3 linked regions of the Coturnix japonica genome follow. The protein of the gene in region 2 purifies or fractionates together with the protein of the main gene of each other region. This does not show direct contact. Links are inferred from orthologs where the notes say so. Each region holds a gene or a part of one and is shown on either strand. Other genes may lie near its edges.

Region 1 (4,202 bases), on a different chromosome or scaffold from region 2:
GCACCCATAATCTGACTGCCAATGCCATTGACTTCACCCATTTGCCAGCTCCAGCTGCATGACGTGCACCTGGACCGTCCCTAAAACATCTGACTGTTAAAACATCAGAGAACAGGTAGGGCGCTCTCTCCCTAACCCTTTCTGTGCTCTGTTCCCTTCATGCTTTGTAAGGGGTTCTTAACATATGGCTAAATCTGTGCAGGCTGATGCTGAGAAGCACAAGTGCCCCCCCCCTCACCCTTCTCCTTCCCCTCAACATTAGCTGGTAAAAAAGAAAACACACCAACCACTCATCTCAAACTGCACCAGATGAACCCATACCTACATGCATGAATGACATGCAGGAAGATCTGCTCTCCAAAACATCCCGTAATTATTGGAAAACTTGGGCACAAAAATCTTGCCTGCTCTTAACAAGAGTTCCTTTCAACCTTTTTGTATTGGTTATACTTCCTAAGTCTCTCCCCTTGTTCTCAGTGTCTCTCTCTAACTTGTCTTGCCTACCAAAATCAAAGAGACAATGCCATAGCTGAGACCTCAGGTGATCTGCACAGAGCACATACACATAGTGCGTGAGTAACAACCTTGCTTATACACACCAAATGAGATGGAACAGGGAGGGGTGCAATGGAAGAAGCAGTCATTGCGATTATGCTACCACATCCTATTTCACTACTACTACTTCACTCCATCCTTTTCCATGCTAGTTTCCCCTTTGTCTCAGGAGTTCATTTTGTTAATTGACCACTTCACATCTTCACCTACTGACATTCTAACATGCCAAATTCTCCGTCAGCTTCCAAAAGTTCAAGTCTCCATCCACAATTCAGCACAACGGAACTTCAAGAAAGGGGAACCTGGCACTATGAGATGCATCAGAAACAGAAGTAGTAGTAGAACCATTTTCAAAGTAACGCAGACCGATGGTAAAACAGCACATCGGAGAGATCTCTGAAGAACAAAATAAAGTAGGGAGATGTGGTCAGCAGCACATAACAGAACATTAGAGCATGTCCTGCACAATGAGGTTGACTAATGGCGCACTTACGTGCTGACTCTCCAGGAAGATATGTTCTTAACATTCAGGTCCCTCGGTAAGCCTCTCACATCAAGAGAACTGTGTGGTTCCTTGCACAGCTGAATTCTGCTGCGCTGCTTCTGGCTAGCATCACTGGAAGCTCTGATCAAATTGCCTGACTCTAGCAATTACAACCTCTACTTTCAACCCTCCCCACCATGCCCACTAACCATGTCACTCGGCAGCAAATCTCCACAGCTCTTGGCTCAATCATCTCCCAGGGCAGCCCATTTCAATTCATTATCGCTCTTTCTGAGAAGAAGCTACCCAATACCCAACCTGAACCTCTACTAGCAGAACGTGAGGCTGTCACATCTCATTCTACTGCTCACTGCCTGGGAGAAGAGGCCAAAGCATCATATGATGCCTGTATGCTTCCAATACATGCAACCACACGCTCTCATTCCTGCTGTGTTTATCCCACAAAATGCGCAAGTTTTGCTCTTGCTCTAACTACAAACAAGACTTCTTCACACAAATGTTAAACATATAGACATTACATAGATACTACTCTTCTTGCATGAGACTTACTAATGTCTTAAACCAAATGGATTCTCTGGTAGAGAAGACGAGGATGTGCTTTCAGTTCCAGATGAATATATATATGAAGTGGACTGTTAATTTCTACCCCTAGGTTGCATTCACCCAGAAACTTCCCCCATTACTTGCAGGAAGACGGATGAGAAACAAAACAGAAAGCCAAGTTTCAGAACCACCAGCGCTAGTCAAAGAGGAAGAGCTCAGCCCATACACCGGTACTTCTCTTCCCAATAAGAACCCAGTGCAGAAGGGCTCAAATGAACCATTCTATCTGGATAACCGCACTACAGAGAGCGGCTGCGATGTGGTTTTCACTTCCTGAGCACTGCTGCGATCAGCCCAGTGACCCCCAGCAGCACCCAGGCCGTGCTGTAGCTCTGCAGGGCACCCAGCCCCCGTCATAGGGCTGGAGGGGCCGAACCCCCGGGGCTCCCACCCCACAGGGCCGTGCTTCACACAGCACATCGCCGGCATCCCATCCTCTTCACCTTTTGACGCGCTGCTAAATAAAAAAAGAAGAGTTTCTAAATCGGATTTGCTTCAGGTTTGACACTGAAAAAACTGCCTTATAAGGTATAAAAGCCTGAAAGCAGGAAGAGGCTTTGACAAAACTAAGGAAGTTCCTCTGCGCTTGCTCACTGGCGGGGGAGGGGTTCTTTTTCTTTTTTTTTTTTTCCCCCCGTTTCACTGATAGAAGTAACACAGAATAAATGACATGAAAAAATCACCGCCACGAACACGCGGCCGGGCGGCAGCTCCGAGCGCAGCGCTCCGCATGGACCACCGCCCTCAGCGGGGCTCCATCAGCACCAAGCACCGCGCCCTCAGCGCTGCGGGCAGCGGGCACAGCCCCCCGCGGCCTCCCCTCCAACAGCGGATGGGGAGCGGGCAGCGCTACTACCCCGCCCGGCCCGGCCCTCCCGTACCACCGCACGCCCCTCGCCGCCATCTCCGGCGGCGGCGGCTGCCCCTCCCCACCGGCTCCGAGCTGTCAGCGGCGCTCACCCCGTGCCGCAGTCCACCACACAGGCCGGAAGCCGCCCTGCCATGCTCCTCGGTAGCGACGGTGCTGGGGACGGCGGGCAGCCCTGGGCGCGCTCCGGCTCCGCTCGGCTCCGGCTCAGGGGGCGAGGGCACTTCCGCAAGGCGGACGCTCCTCCTCCCTGCGCCCGCACGCACGGCCCGGCGACACCAAGATGGCTGAGCCGCCCCTCCCTGCGCGCTACGGCGGAGAGGGCGGGCGCGACAAACCCATCGCTGACGTCCGATCTCGTTTTAAATGGTTTTAAGTTAAAAGAGGGAAGATTTAGGTTGGATGTTAGGGGGAAGTTCTTCACTAGGAGAGTGGTTAGACCATGGAACAGGCTGCCCAGGGAGGTTGTGGATGCCCCGTCCTTGGAGGTGTTCAAGACCAGGTTGGACTGGGCCCTGGGCAACCTGATCTAGTAAAGGTGTATGTTTGGTGGCCCTGCCAGGCAGGGGGGTTGGAACTACGTGATCCTTGAGGTCCCTTCCAACCCGGGTCATTCTGTGATTCTGTGACTGTATTTTAATGCCTGAAAGCTGAGAGAAGGCGGGACAGGCCTCTGTGATGGGAAGAGAGTGCTAAAAATGACAAGAGGATGGCTTCTTCGTCCACCACCAGTGACGGCTGTAGATAACTGCCCCTAGTAGGGCATGAAGAGCCTTCTCCATAGACACGGTCATCAAAGGGCAAATGCAGAAGTCTCACTCTTTCTTCTGCTTTTTTTTTTTTTTTGGTGTTTCCAGAAGTGCTACAGATGCTCTCTGGCTTCCTTCAGCACTGCTCACAAGCAAAACACTTCCGTGGGAGAGAACCAGATGCAGCTGACTGCCCACCGTCCTGCTTCCCTTCTGATATTTGAGTCCCTCAGGCACCTCTTTACTCACAGGCATCCAAAGGAGCAGTCTGAGGTCCCCTTCCTACCCTGCTCTCCATTAAATAAGACCTCTATGCTGCTATCTCAAACCACAAAGCATGGGCATTGCCCTGGTCAGCCCTCCCAGCAAAACTAGCACAGGGATGGATGGCATCCATCCCCCCGTTGGGTTTGGTCATAGGCCCGGGGCAGTGCTTTGAGGCAGGCTGGGAGGTGAGGCCTTCAGGTGAAAAAAAACAACAAAAACAAACCAACAAATAAAAAGGTATTTGAAAAGTCGCTCTTTTCCTTTCCACCTTTCACAGTGCTTTGGTGTCTGAAAGACAGGCTGCTGTGATCAACAGATCTGGCCCCATAATATTCTGTACACGCACACTATTTTTGTTTGCTGTCAATACATTTTAACGTTTCAGCTCATGTGATATTGTGGGTTTTTCTCTGTACTTTACTTGCTGTTACAGCCTTTGCAATAGGAGGGTGCTTTTGGTGGTGTAACATGATGTCCTGCCAAAGACAAAATTGGTTACCTATCCAAAGAAGGAGCTATTAAGGCTCACAGTTTCCTTAATGGGACTTAATGGCTTTAAGTAATGGCCCTTAATGACTTTAATCAGCCTCACCGGGGGCCTCCACCCACACTCCCTGCCCTTGGGTGCAGGAGCCACATAAAAGCCCTGGGCTGT
Region 2 (4,014 bases):
TGTAAAAGTTGGGGGGGGGGAAAAAAAACGTAAAGATGTAAAAATGACAACAAAGCACTTCAAAGTTGAACAGTTATAAAAACAAATCGGTCTTGAACATCTACAAAGGCTGCTTCAGTCCACTATGATGATCTATCTACTGTGCATGTGTCATTGTAATTAAGACCTTTCCCTGTGTGCCCCAAGATCTTTAGTAGGTCAATGAATTGCTCTAAAAGGTGTATGCACTTGTTTCTTCCTGTATCCTCATAAGAGGAAACAGGTTCTTATGAAATTAACACACCTAAGAATTTAACTGGGGAATTAGAATACTTAAATAAGAAATTCAGTGATGTCTCAGTGAACTGATTTGACATTCTGGTGTGTATTGTAGTGCTGTGAGCCTCAATGAAGCCTTTTTCTTTTCCATCCATCAGGAGGTTAAGCTGATGTGCTCAGATGTGACTGTAATCTGCTGATGTGTTGCTTGATAAAACTACTTATGTGTATCCCAGGGAAAAACTACTAACATCAGTAATTAATTACTAATTCCTTCAAATTAATCCTAACAATTAATTGCTTTATGGCTTCCATCCTTATGAGACTCAAACAGTAAAAGATCAAATTGAATTCTTTGGGTTTGTGAATGCTTTGTTTCATACAAAGTGAGACACCCAGTTTTTTCTTTTCTCTTATGAAAGAGACAGTGCAAACAGGTGACTGCGAAGCTGTTTAATATATCAGATCTTATTTCTGTGTCCTGTGTTAATCAAGGACAGCATAAACGGATGGAAGGTAGCACTGTAACAACTCAAGGTCACCTGCAACAGCTGCAATGTGCACAGCTCAACACACACAACTTGGATTTGTCCATTTCTTCCTCCTTTCACATATTAAACAAACTTTTGTAGCAATTTATCCATGGCTGATGGCACGTTGTCGGTCTGCCCCACTGCATACATCTAAAAAGCACCATCTCTGTGATGTCACTCCAAGACATCCACACCCATCGCAGCCTGAAATTACAACATAGCCAAGTATGGCCATGTTAGCAGAGGGTGGAGACTTCAGGACAAGGTAGGAATTTGGAAGCAAACAGGAAATGAACGGCAGTCCCACAGAAACTCAGGAGTGAATGAGAGATGAGTAACCCCTTACAGAGCTGAGCACTCCCCTGCTTTAAGAAATATGCCTAAAGTCCTGAGTAGAGATGATGCAGCACTGTTCATATATATATATATATAGTAATCTATATTATATATGAAAGCCATGATCTGCAGTGTCATTAAATGTACTCAAAGCTCATTTAGCTGAACTTCATTTTAAGTCCAGTTCATAATTGTAACTGTTCTAATTTTCTTCTAATAATCATATGCTAAAGATCACATAAAGCTGCTATTTGAGTACAGCCCTCAGAAGAATAATTACTTATTTTTATTAATGTGAGAGAACTGCCATGATCCAAGTTACCTCTGACCTTGGGCAGCTATGGTGTGAGATTCCATGCATTAACATAAGCAAAACATCACAGCAAATTGCTTTTTCCCCAGTCTTGCTTTAATACATGCCAGCAATTCAGTAGCAGTGCATTTCCATATACAAGAAAAGCTGACGAGCTCTTCTACCAACAGGGAATGCTCAGCCTTTTTGATTCTTTCCAAATACAAAGTAAAACTATCCAATCTCTGCTGCCTGAAGAATGCAGCTATTTCTAATGCAGTCCTCGTGCTTTCTGCACAGATTGGCTCCCTGTACAAACACTGCTGTCCCATCCTAACAGCTCCTAGTTCAGAGATTGTTTTGCTCACTAACCTACAGGCTGTTCCCAAAGCTTACAGCTGGACAAGGGACATGATGCATCCTCATCCTTCTCAAGCACCACAACTCACAGCAAGCAGGTAATGTTCATTAAGAAAGAACAGTGATGACAATCTCAAAGAGCACAAATATTTGCCATCTGATCGTTGCAATATTATTTCCTTTGGGGAGATAAATACTGTTTGTAAGATCTTATGAAGATTTATTTCTTATCAGTGGCTGAATGACTTGATGTAACCAATACAGCATAAACCCCACAGTGTTCTCCTGTCTGCCAAGCTCAGGATTTAACATAGGAAAGGCACTGTCAAGGTAACTTTGTTAGGTAGATAGAGCTTCCTTTCAAATGCAAACTAATTGTCCTTGTTTCAATATTTTCTTTTAAGGGCAGGGTGCCAAAATTCCTCCTGCTCACCCACACAGCCCCTCAGAAACTCAGCCCTGAGAAGCCCAGGACTGAGCTGCTGTCACCTCTCGAGAAGCACGAGGTAAGGAGACAGCGAGGAGATGCTTCCAAATTACAGACAGTGTGAGTGTGAGAGCTGCTGTAAATCTCTGCCTATTTCCAGAGCTGCCTGTGACTGATCGCTGCCTCCCCCCGCTGTCATATCGGCCCGTTCCCGTCGGGGCGGTGGCCGCACTCAGCCGGGCGGTGCCGTCCCACACAGGTGCCCGGTGCTGAGGCCGCTGTGCGGTGCGGACAAGGACGGAGCTGCCCCGCCGCCCCCTCTCCCGGCCCACCCGCCCCTCTATGAGCACAGGGCCGGGTACGGGCCCCGCACGGCGGGCAGGCCGCGGCTGAGTGCTGCAGAGCCGCCGCCCCCTCAGCAGCTGGGCCTGAGGGCGGCCAGCCGTTCGGTCGGGGCCGGGACTCACCTGAGGCTGCGGGGGCGGAGCGGGGCTCGCGGACTCTGGGCAGTCAACGCGACTCCGCTCCGGGCGGCGGCGGCGGCCGAGGGGAGGGGTGGGAAAGGGGGGCGGCCCGGCACTGACAAGGGAGCCAGGAAACGCGCACTGCGCATGCGCGCCGCCCGCCGGCCAACCCCGCGGGATGCGCATGCGCCATGCTGACGGGGAGGGGGGTGTCGGGGCGTGACGGGAAGGCGTTGTGCGCATGCGCGGGGGGGAGGGAGGAATGTGCCGCACACAAAGGCGGCGGGCGGGTTGGGGGCGCATGCGCAGTGTGGGGATGTGGCACAGATGGGGGGGGCTTCACGTTGTGTGTGAGGGGGTCTATAGGTGTAAGAGGGCTCTATGGCTGTGTGAGGGGGTCTATAGGTGTAGAGGTCTATGGGCTGTTGTTGAGGGGTCTATAGCTGTGTTGAGGGGCTCCTATAGGTGCTGAGAGGGGAAGTTATAGTAAGAGTGTAAAGAGGCGTCTTTGTGCTGGCTTGTGAGGGGGGTCTATAGGTGTGAGAGGGCTCTATGGCTGTGTGAGGGGGGGGTCTATAGGTGTAAGAGGGGTCTATGGCTGTGTGAAGGGGGTCTATAGGTGTAAGAGGGGTCTATGGCTGTGTGAGGGGGGTCTATAGGTGTAAGAGGGCTCTATGGCTGTGTGAGGGGGGCATGCTGTGCCTCGGTGGATGGAGGGAGCAAGGCAAGCTGTGTCCAGCATGGTAGAGCTGGTTGGGGTACAATGTACTTGGTGTCAGCGCTTGTCTGGGGAAATACCTTCGGTCCATTATTCATTTATAATGAAACAGCCCCTGTAATTGCTGTGTTTGGAGATGGGGTCAAGTCTGAGCTTGTATTAATGCACTGTCAGAGGGCTAGAATGCAAAGAGGGGAACTCAATGGGAAAAAGCATCAGGTAGTACTGTGTGCTTATAACTGTGGGGCTGGTTGTATTGGTGTTAGGAAAGGCAGCTGTGTGTTATAGGAAGGGATGGAGGAGCTGCTGTGGGCTGCAAGCTGAATAGCAATGTCCTGCTGTTAGAGCAGTGAATGCCATGCAGGTCTGTATAGTGCTAATAGGATACAGGCATCCTGCCATGCTGAGCTGTGCTAAAACGGTGTGTCCAGTGCTGGGCTCCATGTGAGCAAAATGTGTGTGATTTAGAGGAAAAAGGGTAAAAATAATGCTCAGTCTTTGAACACATGACTGTTACAGAGCTGGAGGGAACAGAGCCACAGACGTAAGTCTTCAAATAGATAAAAGGATGCTGCCATGAGGGAAGGGACGATTTGTTCTCTCATGTCCATTGGGGGTAGTAGGGT
Region 3 (4,260 bases), on a different chromosome or scaffold from region 2:
TGCTCTTGTCTTGCACCAAACGCGGCAGCTGCAGGAGGTGCTGCTGATCCTGCACCGAACCCCAAAGTGCAAACATCACCTGAACGCTTCTCACCTGCTCCAGGATTGGCCATTCTGCAGATGCTGGGCTGCCTGAGCTCCTCCATCCCTGTGCTGTCCCCAGCTACCCCACAAGGAAGTCACTCCCAGGCAGCACTGGCAGCACAAAGTTCGTATCACCCACCTTCACCCAGCAAGGCCAGAGCACTCCACTGCAGAGCAGGTGAGCACCACAGGGACCACAAATGGGAAATACCACAGAGGATGTGGATGCAGTTGCAGCCAAACTCTCCAAGCAGCCTACAGGAACTGGTTTACAGCACAGAAGTTGAAGCTTCAGCTGTTTTCCCATTCAACCAGCACTCATGAAACCCTGCAAATTTGCCCCTATTGAAAGCTTTACAGAAACCTAACATTGAATGAGATATGTTTCCCCTCCACCTCCAACCAAGGGAAAAATCACACTGTTCTCCACCTATGCAATTTCTTCTCCTGCACAGCAGGTAAACAGTAAGTACCAATTTGAGACAGATGATTAATTAGCTTGCCCTAAACTGCCAGCAATGTAAGGCTGAAGAACCATACCTAAGAACACAAGCCCTCTGCTACAGTTTGGCTGGGATCAGAGTGGACCAAAACTGGAGGGCAAATCTGTTTTGGGGGGGTAGTTCTCTGCTGTGCTTTAAAAAGAAGTGAACACAGGAGACAGAAATGTTTTACCTTGAAAATAGGTTATTGTTCCCAGGTATTCCCCCACTTCAGCACTTTGACAGACTAATCTTTCAGCTCAGGGAGCTGCTGGATCCATGGCACAGTCACAGAAGGAGAGGGAAGTGCCCACATCATGGAGCAAGTTTAGATAAACTGTGCATCACATCTGCACAATTCAAGTTGCAGGGCAGATAACTCAGGGTCAGCTCACAGTGACTTACTCCTCTCAATCACTTAATCCCTTGGAGTGTGTCCTTGCCCTGACCACCCTGGGTCCATCCCCAGGACACATCTTGGGTTGACGGTCACCCAAACAGAGCAAATCCCCTCCTGCCTTCAAGCTCAATGCCACAGGATGACCCTGGAACACCAGCTGGATGGAAAAGAAATATCTCATGAATAAACATGGCATGGCATAGCACCAGTACCCAAAAAGACTTGTTCAGAGAAGTAGATTTCCATTTTCCTTGGTTTCATCTCTGACCTTCATCCATGCCTTGTTCTTTCCTGGACAGCAGAACAGCACAAGCACAGAAGAAAATGCAGAAGTGAATTACTTCCTCCCCTCCAGCAACATTCTGAGGGTGCAACACTCATCCAGAAGGAGCACTTAGCTGGTCTTCTATGCAAAAGAAAGGACGGCCCATAGAACAAGAGGCAGAATATCATTGGCCACACTCACAGCAAATTGATCCAGGAAGGATTGGTATGCCAGGCAAGCACGCTGAGGCAGTAACAAGCTTTGCTGTACAGCAAAATGGAAACATTGTAGATTGGAGGTGAGTGAGTAACCTCAGCTCTAGCTGCACTGAGTCAGGGCTTTGAGCTGCACTCAGTCTCCTGATGGCTGCATCCTCCATTCACTGCTGCTGCTGCACTTGGACTGATGCAGGGACACGCACACAGGCTCCCACCAGCAGAACGCCTCCATATGAGCTTGTGGTGAACGAGTGTTTTTTGACACACACTATTAACCTCCAGATACTTCAGGTTTTTTTCCTAATGGAAAATGCAGCACCCAAGAGCTCTCTCCTCCCAGTGTGGTGCTTTGGGGATATGTTGCACTAAATAATCACATGAAGAGGCTGATGGCAGGGAAGAGAGCAGCGTGGTGATCCCACAAGGCAGCACAGTGGGAGCTGTGGGAGCACAGGTGAAGGTAATTCAGCTGTGCTCCTGGAAGGGGTGGAGCTTGACTCCACGTCTCCTAGATCCCATTTAAGGGCTGACCACCACTAAGGCAGCATCTCTTTCTGGAGATTGCATGGCTGCAGATAAGGGCATTCACGTGAGATGACTGTCTCAAGCTGAACTATGCTCAGACAATATCTTCCCAGCACTGAAGCGCTGCTGTCAGTAACACTCAGTGGCTCCCCGGGGACTATATGATCCAGACCAAAGATACAGGTGCAGATCAACTGCCCTACAACCTCCACAAAGCCAAGATGCTCAGCAGCCCTATGCCAGCAGCCAGGACAAGCGGATCCTCTGACCCTGCCAACACCTCCCATCCCAATGGCACACCCCAACACCACAAGCTCCATCACTCTCACCTAATCCCAGCCCTAAGCACCCCATGGAGCCTGGCCTCACACAATCTTCCATTCATCCACTCAGTCCCACCACCTCAGCCCCCTCCACCCTTGCCGGCCCCACCCCATGTCCCCATTGCCCTGTCATACCTCACACCCAAGGCCCAGCTCGGTGCCACCCGCCCCTCCCACGCCTCTCCCATAGACATTATCCCTTAGCTCCTTATCCCCCTCCCCTCCCTCAGGCCTCACTAGGCCGCAACGCTTCCTCCTCCGCCCCGCCCCGGCCTCATTCACCGACCCATCTCCCTGCCCTACCCGGCGGCCGCGCCCTCGAACTTCAACGTGAGGGTCTCTTCGATGATACGGTTGTTGACCTCGAGCAGGATCATGTCGGTACCGGGGTTGGGGAACCGGCTCTCAGCGCTCCGAGGCCGGAGGGAGCCGAGCCCGCTGCGCGCACCGGGGACCCGCCCGAGCCTGCGCCGCCGCTTCCGCTCTCGAGCCCGCGCGTCACTTCCGGGCTCGTCCCGCCCCCCCCCAACACACACCGCCTACATGATGGGGGTCGGGAGTGAATGTGGGGTGTGAAGGGGGAATGGTGGGGTGAGCCGGAATGGGGACTGCCTACATGTGGGGTGATGGAGTCCCTGTGTGGGATGATGGAGTCCCTATGTGTGATGATGGAGTCCCTACAGTGCCCCCCCAGCGTTATACTAATGATGTGAGAGCGCCCCAGGATAATATGGGGTGTCCCCGGAGCACCCATAGGGATGGGGTGAAGCCCCATGGCCAGCAGAGCCCCACGAACCCCCCCCAGCCGTGCAAAGCGGGTGTGCTGTGCCCTGGGCTGGGGGTGCAGGGAAGGTGTCCCCTCTGCTGCCGCTTCCTCTTCGTGCTGCAGAAGGTTTTGCAACCTTGCTTCCTCCCTGCGCTGCATAAAGCGGCAGTGCCAGCTCTGAGCCTGGCTCACTTGGTGCAGGTGTGGGACCTGCTGGCACGTCCCCGTGCTCCCCAGGGTCTCCGTTTTGGGGTAACATCCCGTGGCAGACCTCAGCCGGGCTTGGAGCTGGGAAGGGGAGAAGATTTGGGGTGCAGCAGAGGCGGTGAGTGCGTGGGATGCTTGGCTATGGGGTGCCATGGGGCACCCTGCTTACCTGGGCAAGGGGTGCAGGGAGGGCTCTGCATAGCATAATCTGAGCTCCACGTAGGGTAACCCCAACCCTGGGGGGAGCTGATGTCCCCAAGTAGTTTTCTGCGTGGGGTCCAGGGAGGAAATGGAGACTTCCCCTTCTGTGGGCAGAAATCTGTCCCCATAGGAACTGCAGGGAATTTGGGTGGGGAATCGGAAGGAGAAGCCAAAAATATAGTGGGGAGAAGCGTGTTTCCTCTGCTCTGGGTACTGTGGTGCACTCGGGGAGCTGGTGTGAGAAGGGTTTTTGGGGAGGACATCAGGATTCAAAGGACTCACACCAACCGGAGGGACTCAGGAGGGATCCTTCATTGGGGCTGAACCTGGAGGGGACAGTGCTGAGGTGAAGCAGTCCACACGGGGCTGTTGGGCAGGAGGACGTATGGGGATAGTTTTCAGGCATGAGCCTGTTCATTGTATGGTGTGGTGAGGTTATGGGGTGTGGGAGAGCAATGGGGGCTGGAAGTGCTGGATGTGCCCTGAGCCCACGTTGCTTTGTGCTTTGCAGGCAAAATGGGGACATTTTACGCCGATGAACTCTTCGATATCTTATACAACTACACTTCTGACTATGGCAACTACAGCCTGGTTCTGCCTGACATCGATGTCTCCTCTTCCCCATGCCGTAATGAAGGTTCTGTAGCCAACAAATACTTCGTAGCCTTCATCTACTGCTTGGTCTTCCTCCTCAGCATGGTGGGCAACGGGCTGGTGGTGCTGGTGGTCACCTCCAGCCACATGAACCGCTCCGTCACCGACATCTACCTGCTCAACCTGGCTGTGGCC

The links.
Region 1: the proteins of ARPC1A (region 2) and ACTR3 purify together in Homo sapiens (affinity purification with mass spectrometry; 7 studies listed by BioGRID and IntAct, counting the BioPlex papers as one, with this or other methods). This does not show direct contact. The link is inferred for Coturnix japonica from reciprocal best matches to the Homo sapiens genes ARPC1A and ACTR3.
Region 3: the proteins of ARPC1A (region 2) and ARPC2 purify together in Homo sapiens (affinity purification with mass spectrometry; 8 studies listed by BioGRID and IntAct, counting the BioPlex papers as one, with this or other methods). This does not show direct contact. The link is inferred for Coturnix japonica from reciprocal best matches to the Homo sapiens genes ARPC1A and ARPC2.

Annotation. Positions count from the first base shown.
Region 1 is NC_029522.1:26,881,522-26,885,723, forward strand, and holds the start of ACTR3 (actin-related protein 3), read right to left. Parts: upstream 2,801-4,202; 5' UTR 2,668-2,800; coding exon 2,624-2,667; intron 1-2,623. UniProt on the Homo sapiens protein: ATP-binding component of the Arp2/3 complex, a multiprotein complex that mediates actin polymerization upon stimulation by nucleation-promoting factor (NPF).
Region 2 is NC_029529.1:4,392,682-4,396,695, reverse strand, and holds the start of ARPC1A (actin-related protein 2/3 complex subunit 1A), read right to left. Parts: upstream 2,807-4,014; 5' UTR 2,674-2,806; intron 2,286-2,673; exon of another isoform or gene 2,184-2,285; intron 1,878-2,183; exon of another isoform or gene 965-1,877; intron 1-964. UniProt on the Homo sapiens protein: Probably functions as a component of the Arp2/3 complex which is involved in regulation of actin polymerization and together with an activating nucleation-promoting factor (NPF) mediates the formation of branched actin networks.
Region 3 is NC_029522.1:24,164,775-24,169,034, reverse strand, and holds the start of ARPC2 (actin-related protein 2/3 complex subunit 2), read right to left. Parts: upstream 2,801-4,260; 5' UTR 2,675-2,800; coding exon 2,601-2,674; intron 1-2,600. Other genes in the region: C-X-C chemokine receptor type 1-like, read left to right, coding at 2,899-3,388, 3,983-4,260. UniProt on the Homo sapiens protein: Actin-binding component of the Arp2/3 complex, a multiprotein complex that mediates actin polymerization upon stimulation by nucleation-promoting factor (NPF).